Danio rerio: one gene and its partner. The protein of the gene in region 1 purifies or fractionates together with the protein of each later gene. This does not show direct contact. Links are inferred from orthologs where the notes say so. Each region holds a gene or a part of one and is shown on either strand. Other genes may lie near its edges.

What was found.
Region 2: the proteins of sntb2 (region 1) and caska purify together in Homo sapiens (affinity purification with mass spectrometry; 3 studies listed by BioGRID and IntAct, with this or other methods). This does not show direct contact. The link is inferred for Danio rerio from reciprocal best matches to the Homo sapiens genes SNTB2 and CASK.

What each region holds. Positions count from the first base shown.
Region 1 is NC_133200.1:37,500,351-37,504,005, reverse strand, and holds part of sntb2 (beta-2-syntrophin), read right to left. Parts: exon of another isoform or gene 3,405-3,655; intron 2,861-3,404; exon of another isoform or gene 2,012-2,860; coding exon 1,810-2,011; intron 1-1,809. UniProt on the Homo sapiens protein: Adapter protein that binds to and probably organizes the subcellular localization of a variety of membrane proteins. May link various receptors to the actin cytoskeleton and the dystrophin glycoprotein complex.
Region 2 is NC_133184.1:35,296,745-35,300,499, forward strand, and holds the start of caska (peripheral plasma membrane protein CASK), read right to left. Parts: upstream 2,641-3,755; 5' UTR 2,095-2,640; coding exon 2,036-2,094; intron 1-2,035. UniProt on the Homo sapiens protein: Multidomain scaffolding Mg(2+)-independent protein kinase that catalyzes the phosphotransfer from ATP to proteins such as NRXN1, and plays a role in synaptic transmembrane protein anchoring and ion channel trafficking.

The DNA.
Region 1 (3,655 bases):
TATATATTTATTTCACTATTACCAAATACTGTTAATATATTGAAATGATTAGAGCTGTAATGAAAAATCCTTAGAGATATCATTATTGATTATGAGCTTAGTTTTACCAGCAGGTGGTGCTGTACGCTTCACAAACAGCTGTAGTCTGCTTGCATGCAAATCTTTAAAAATACTACTCAAAGCTAAAATAATAATTAATAAAGTTAGGAAAGATTTAAGAAAAAATAAGCTTGCCTAGTGTGCCATCTGTGGTTAAAAAACTAGCCTGACTAGCCTAGAGCGCCATCTGTGGTGTAAAAAAAACTAGCCCTCCATATGTGGTTAAAAACTAGCGTAGAGTGCCATCTGTGGTAAAAAAAATTGCCTAGAGCACCGCCTGTGGTTAAAAAGACTAGCCCTCTATCTGTTATTAAAAAACTAGCCTAGAGCACTGTCTGTGGTTTAAAAATTAGCCTAGAGCACTGTCTGTGGTTAAAAAAAACTAGCCTAGAGCACTGTCTGTGGTTAAAAACAAAACACTAGCCTAGCCTAGAGCACCGTCTGTGGTTAGAAACAAAACACTAGCCTAGCCTAGAGCACCGTCTGTGGTTAAAAACAAAACACTAGCCTAGCCTAGAGCACCGTCTGTGGTTAAAAACAAAACACTAGCCTAGCCTAGAGCACCGTCTGTGGTTAAAAACAAAACACTAGCCTAGCCTAGAGCACCGTCTGTGGTTAAAAACAAAACACTAGCCTAAAGCACTGTTTGTGGTTTAAAAACTAGCCTAGTGCTTTGTCTGTGGTTAAAAAAACTAGCCTAGCCTAGAGCACTGTCTGTGGTTAAAAACAAAACACTAGCCTAGAGCACTGTCTGTGGTTAAAAACAAAACACTAGCCTAGCCTAGAGCACCGTCTGTGGTTAAAAACAAAACACTAGCCTAGCCTAGAGCTTCGTCTGTGGTTAAAAACAAAACACTAGCCTAGCCTAAAGCACTGTTTGTGGTTTAAAAACTAGCCTAGTGCTTTGTCTGTGGTTAAAAAAACTAGCCTAGCCTAGAGCACTGTCTGTGGTTAAAAACAAAACACTAGCCTAGCCTAGATCACTGTCTGTGGTTAAAAACAACTCAATAGCCTAGAGCACTGTCTGTGGTTAAAAACAAAACACTAGCCTAGCCTAGAGCACCGTCTGTGGTTAAAAACAAAACACTAGCCTAGCCTAGAGCACCGTCTGTGGTTAAAAACAAAACACTAGCCTAGCCTAAAGCACTGTTTGTGGTCTAAAAACTAGCCTAGTGCTTTGTCTGTGGTTAAAAAAAACTAGCCTAGCCTAGAGCACTGTCTGTGGTTAAAAACAAACCACACATAGCCTATAGCGCTGTCTGTTGTTGAGAAATAACGTAGAGCACCATCCGTGATTAAAAACTAGCCTAAAGCACCATCTCTGGTTTACAACTAGCCTAGAGCACCATGCTTGGTTAAAACAAGAGTGCTACCTGCTGTTAAAAAATTGCTCAAAATTAATTGAAGAAAGACTCATTTTGAGAATGTCAGAATTGATGCAGAATCGATTTCTTTGCCAATATGACTGTCAACAATGTCATCTGACTACATTTATCTCTTGCTCACAAAAGCTGTATTTATTTGATCAAGTACACGTCGTCAGTGAAATTTGTCATCAAATAAACAGCCTTGGTAAGCAAAAGAGACATTAAAATCATTAAATATCATAAGTTTTGACTCTCAGTGTAATCCAAACATAGTTTCTGTCTTCACAGTAGAATTAAAGTCAAGCTCAATAACACAGAGCTGCTTCTGAGATCTGGGACTCACCTGTTCTCCGGGTCAGGCATGGTGAGGTTTCGGCTGATGAAGCTCATTTTGAGCGGGATGACCTTTCTGTCTCGGCTGACGCTGCTCTTGGGGGATTCATCACTGCTGCTGAGGTTTGGAGACTGCAGACGGCCATCCCAGGACAAATCTGCACTCATGGAGGACTTCTTGAAGAGCGGAGACACTTCTCTGATGTACTTCACTGCACACACAGCACAAGTGGTCTTAAGCGGAGTCAAAACAGACCATCATTTTTAATGATTTGAATGAAGTGATAGTTCAACTAAAAATGTAAATTCACTCACTATTCACTCTGCCTCAAGTTTTTAGAAACCTTTATGAGTTTCTTTCACTGCTATTAAAGCACTATTAGCTTAGCATAGATCATTGAATCGGATTAGACCATTAGCATCTCACTCACATATTTTCCTATTTGAAGCCAGACTCTTTTGTAGTTACATCGTCTATTAAGACAAAAGGAAAATGAAAAGTGGCTATTCCCTCATTCTCGCTATAATAATCAAGGAAATTTGTTGCTGTATCACAGCTGCAGCAGGAGCAACGCTATTAGGTACTGCCCGAAAACCAACGTGATCAGCAACTTGCACATGTACCTTGCGAACATGGAGACATGTGTAAGATAATTGTGAACACATTTACTTTGGTGCAGATCTATTTGAAGCAAAATACATGAACGTTTGCTGCGATATATTGCACAACCCTACAGAACACAACACATCAAACCTTGAAGCTGATGAGCTACAGCAGCAGAAAAGAAGAGACTCGCTAAAAGTGGACACTAGGGCTCCGTTTACACTAATGCGTTTTCGTTTTAAAACGCATAAGTTTTGCTACGGTTACGCCATCCGCCCACACTACGGCGGAGTTCTCGAGCGGCAAAAACGGAGCGTTTTGAAAATGCTGGAGAGGCTGTTTTCATACTGACACACTGCTGCAATGTCTCGGTGTGGATGAGGAAAAACGGAGACATCTGAAAACGGAGGCGGGACCGCTGAGATTCGCTCCCTGATTGGGGCTTTTGTGTCATTAGCTGCGTCCCAAATCGCATACTTATGCACTATTCTACGCCATTTTGTAGTATAAATAGTGTAAGTAGTGTGTTCACACTGAAAACTCTTAAAATAATAAGTGCACTTTAATTACCCGGATGATGCCCTCATTCAGCCGCTAAAATGAAGTGTGGAATGATGGACACTTCACGCACTCAACGACCGCAGGTTTGCTTACGTATCGGAAGGGGCGGAGCTTTCGAGCGCACATGTTGGATAACTGTATTTATTTTGGATGGAGAAAGCAAAATTCTCCTACGAGAGTGATTATAGCGCCTCCCGATGGTGAATGCGGCAATACTCACGGCAGGTTTTATTTGATAATTCGTTCGTTTATTTCACTGATTTGGCAACCGTCAAACGTCATCAGGGAAACGGTTTGAATTTCCGTTTAGTAAAAAAACATTAGTGTGCCATTTGGGACAACACTACATACATGTACTATCCTGTTGAGTGTGTAAGTGCATAAGTACATAGTGCATGAGTGCATAGTGTATAGTGTGCCATTTGGGACGCAGCTATTGCGTATCCTTCCCTTATTCGTCAAGCCCCTATCACATGACTATAACACATGGCTTTAACGCTACCGGAAGACAGCAGACCAGCCTTCACTGTCATCAACAACATGGACACAGAAATGGGAGCGTTGTTTGCACTATTGTCTGTTTTAGGCGCCATTCTGCAGTTATTCATTTGTTACGTTTAGTAACAACTCGACCTCGTCGTCTGTCCACAAAAATACCTCTCTTGCTTTCTTTGCCATCGCGTTTAATGTT
Region 2 (3,755 bases), on another chromosome or scaffold:
TGATTTATAAATATAATAAAGACTATACAGTAATATTTGACATTATATTATTAAATGTCTGTATCTGAATACTGTTTGACACTCCGGAAAACCATAAATAACTGTTTATTTAAATTTTTTCTTTACTCTATTGTAATTATTCTTGCAATTTAATACATGATTCACAGGCATCCAAAATCAACCAATCAATAATTCATTTATTTTATTTTGTTTACACAAATAGAGCTATTCAAGCCATCTCGTGAAACTGTATTCATATCGCAGCAAAACAAAATATCGAAATGACAGATTTGTTCAATATCATGCTGCCCTAATTACATTACACTATTTTATATTATATTACACTCTGGCTTTCAAGGCTACAGTGTGAATGTGAAAAAAATCCAAATAAAAGCAAAGTTTTAACTGTCAAATATCACATTTCACAGCAATAATGAAAAACAAATTCTCATATTTAAGTCTGCATCTATAAAAATATGTAAAAAGTAAAGAAAATGAGAAAATGGCGCTATGGTGGTGCAGTAGGTAGCACAACAGCCACACAGCAAGAAGATTGCTGGTTTGACCCCCGGCTCGATCAGTTGGCATACCTGTGTGGAGTTTGCATGTTCTCCCTGTATGTGTGAAAGTGTGTATAGGTGTTTCCCAGTGTTGGGTTGCAGCTAAAAGGGCATGGGCATCCGCTGTGTGAAACACATGCTGGATAAGTTCATTTCTCTGTGGCGACCCCAGAATAATGAAGGTACTAAGCCGAAAAGAAAATAAATGAAAAAAATAGGTACTCTCTTCATCAATCTAGCACAATTTTCAGTAAACTGTGAGAACCCCTTCGCAAACATGTCCAAACTTTTCAGCTTAACCCTGCCCCTTCTGATTGAGTCCCCACCCCCAACTCCCAGCTTGGTACTGGATACTAGTTGTGGTCAGCAAATTGTAGACCTGTATTTTCTGTATGTAAGATTGAACTAGTGTTTTTTTTTTTATTATTCATTTATTTATTTTGTTAAAAATATTCTTCAGTGTATTTGCTTATTGTTAAATGTTTATGTTGTCATTTTTGTATATTTTTGTAATGCGTTTTACAACATAAATACAACATTAAAAAAGTAAATAAAATACACAAATTATTAAATAGCAATTACATTGAATATTATAAACACACATACACATACATAATACTAATAATGCATTGCATTTAAGGCATTTATTATGTTATACTCACATCAAACAACTATTTATAATACTAAGGTAAAGTTTGCTTTATATTCCAAATATTTACATATTCAGACTTTGTCCTTAATAATATAATTTCAGAAAAATATTAGCAAATTCTGAATAGTGAAATCATATTAGCAGCCAATGACTGAAGTACAACATTGTTCAGTCAATTAAACAGTGCTGATGTTGTTGTGTGGTGATACTTAAATGCGATTTCAGAGCAAATATTCAAAGTAGCGTGGTAAACAATACAATGACCATTAAAATAAACAGATATGTGAATATGAAACCCACTTTACCTCAATATTATAATGGCTAGAACTCTCAGCACACGTAAAGTACAGGTATAGTGGTCAATACCAGTAACAACTACAAACGAACAAGACTGCAAGCACAAACCTGACATTTCTAGATAACACATGAAAGCCAGGTGACACGAAATTGGTTTATCCACCAAAACACAATCATTTGCAGAAACATCAACGCTGACAGCAGTAGAGGAAGCTATGCAAAAACAATAGTAGTGGATGGCATCTAACGTTACCTGCACGAACGCTCAAAGTACACTTCTCTCATCTCTCACACTCGCCACTCCCATTCCTCATTGCTCCAGCCTCAGACAACATGCAGTTTGTAAAGAGTTACGACTGAATCTAACTATCATGTGTTCAACAGCACAGCACTGCAGCACAACAGTCTGAATTTCACGCAATGACAACACTCGTCTGGCAGACAAACACACACACACAACGCAAAAGGCGCAGCTCGAGTCACAGATGGACATTCACCCGTGTGTCATTATCAAAGTGAGACTTACTTGCCAATGACCTCACACAGCTCGTAAACATCTTCAAAGAGCACGTCGTCGTCGGCCATGGTCCAACAAGAGCGGGGAATTTACACTCCCCCTCCAAAATCCGTCCAAATGGTAAATATCAGAGGATTACCGAGCAGACACTTCAGAGTACCTGGAATGAGCGCCGCGAAAGAAACGCTGACAGCCGATTGTATCGCTCTCCAAATTCCGATGAACGGCGAATGGTTGATTCCTGTCGGTTTTGGGTGGGAAAAATTATCCTTTGGTGGTTTGGTGGAAGCGAGCGGACAGTAGTGAGCGCTCGGTCCGTTTGACTCACCCTGCCCCACCTTCTCCTCCCTCTCTCTCGGCCCCCTTAATCCCGCCACTCGAGGCTGAGGTAATTCAAACGTTAAAAACAACTCCACGATAATCGCTGCCGAAGTCACGGAACCAAGTGGGTTAAGTCGTTTAGACGCTAAACTAACTAACTCGAGCCGGGGGAGAAGACGTGCACGCGGTTTGTTTGTGTGTTCAAACGCAAGCTGTTGTTAAAGTGCGCAGTTCAGTTGATTCCACTCATTCTAGCCACGCGCGGCTTCGGCTTTTCCCTGTGCGCGCTCACGCTGACTGTCCCTGCTCGCCGCCGTTGCTCTAGTTCCCCCTCATAACTCCAGCGCTGCTGCTCCCAGCTTCCAGAAAACCCAAACTCCTCCCACTCGCGCTTATGAAACTGGATTGCCTTACGCCATAATGGCTCCGACAGGACTTTCGTATTCCGGAATTCCCGCATAGACTGGCACGTGCGGTTGAGCCAAAATGACGACCAGGCGTCTCAGAGTTTGTTGGCTGAAGCGACAGTTTACCTAGATAAAAAGCGTATTGAACTGCGCTTGAAAATCTTTAGTTGACTTACTAGCTTGACTATATGTTTTTGTAGACATGTGTTTATGTAATAATAATAAAAAAATATTTGAAAAGTGGTTTGGGGAATAAAACATTATTGCACATAATTATTGGCAATACATACACATACTGTATAATAAAGCAGACAACATCATAGGTGAACATTCATTTCCACAATAATACGCCATAATATGATGTATTTAATATGAGTCTATACGAGATATCTTTAAGAGTAGCTATAATAAATATACACTAACAGGCCACTTTATTAGGTATACCTTACTAGTACCATGTTGGAGCCGCTTTTGCCTTCAGAATTGCCTTAATCCATTGTGGCATCGACTCAACAAGGTACTGGAAATATTCTTCAGAGATTTAGCTCAATATTGACATGATATCATCACGTAGTTGCTGCAGATTTGTTAGTTGCACATCTATGATGTGAATCTCCCGTTCCACCACATCCCCAAGGTGCTCTATTGGATTGAGTTCTGGTGACTGTGGAAATCACTTGAGAACAGTGAACTCATTGTCATGTTCAAAAAACCAGTTTGAGTGATTTACGCTTTATGACATGCCGTGCTATCCTGCTAGTAATAGCCATCAGAAGATGGGTACACTGTGGTCATGAAGGGATGGACATGGTCAGCAACAATAATCGGGTAGGCTGTGGCGTTGACACAATGCTCAATTGGTACTAATGGGCACAAAGTGTGCCAAGAAAATATCCCCCACACCATTACACCACAACCACCAGCCTGAACCGTTGCAGCAGAAATCGAGACTCATCAGACCAGGCAACGCTTTTCCAATCTTCTATTGTCCAATTTCAGTG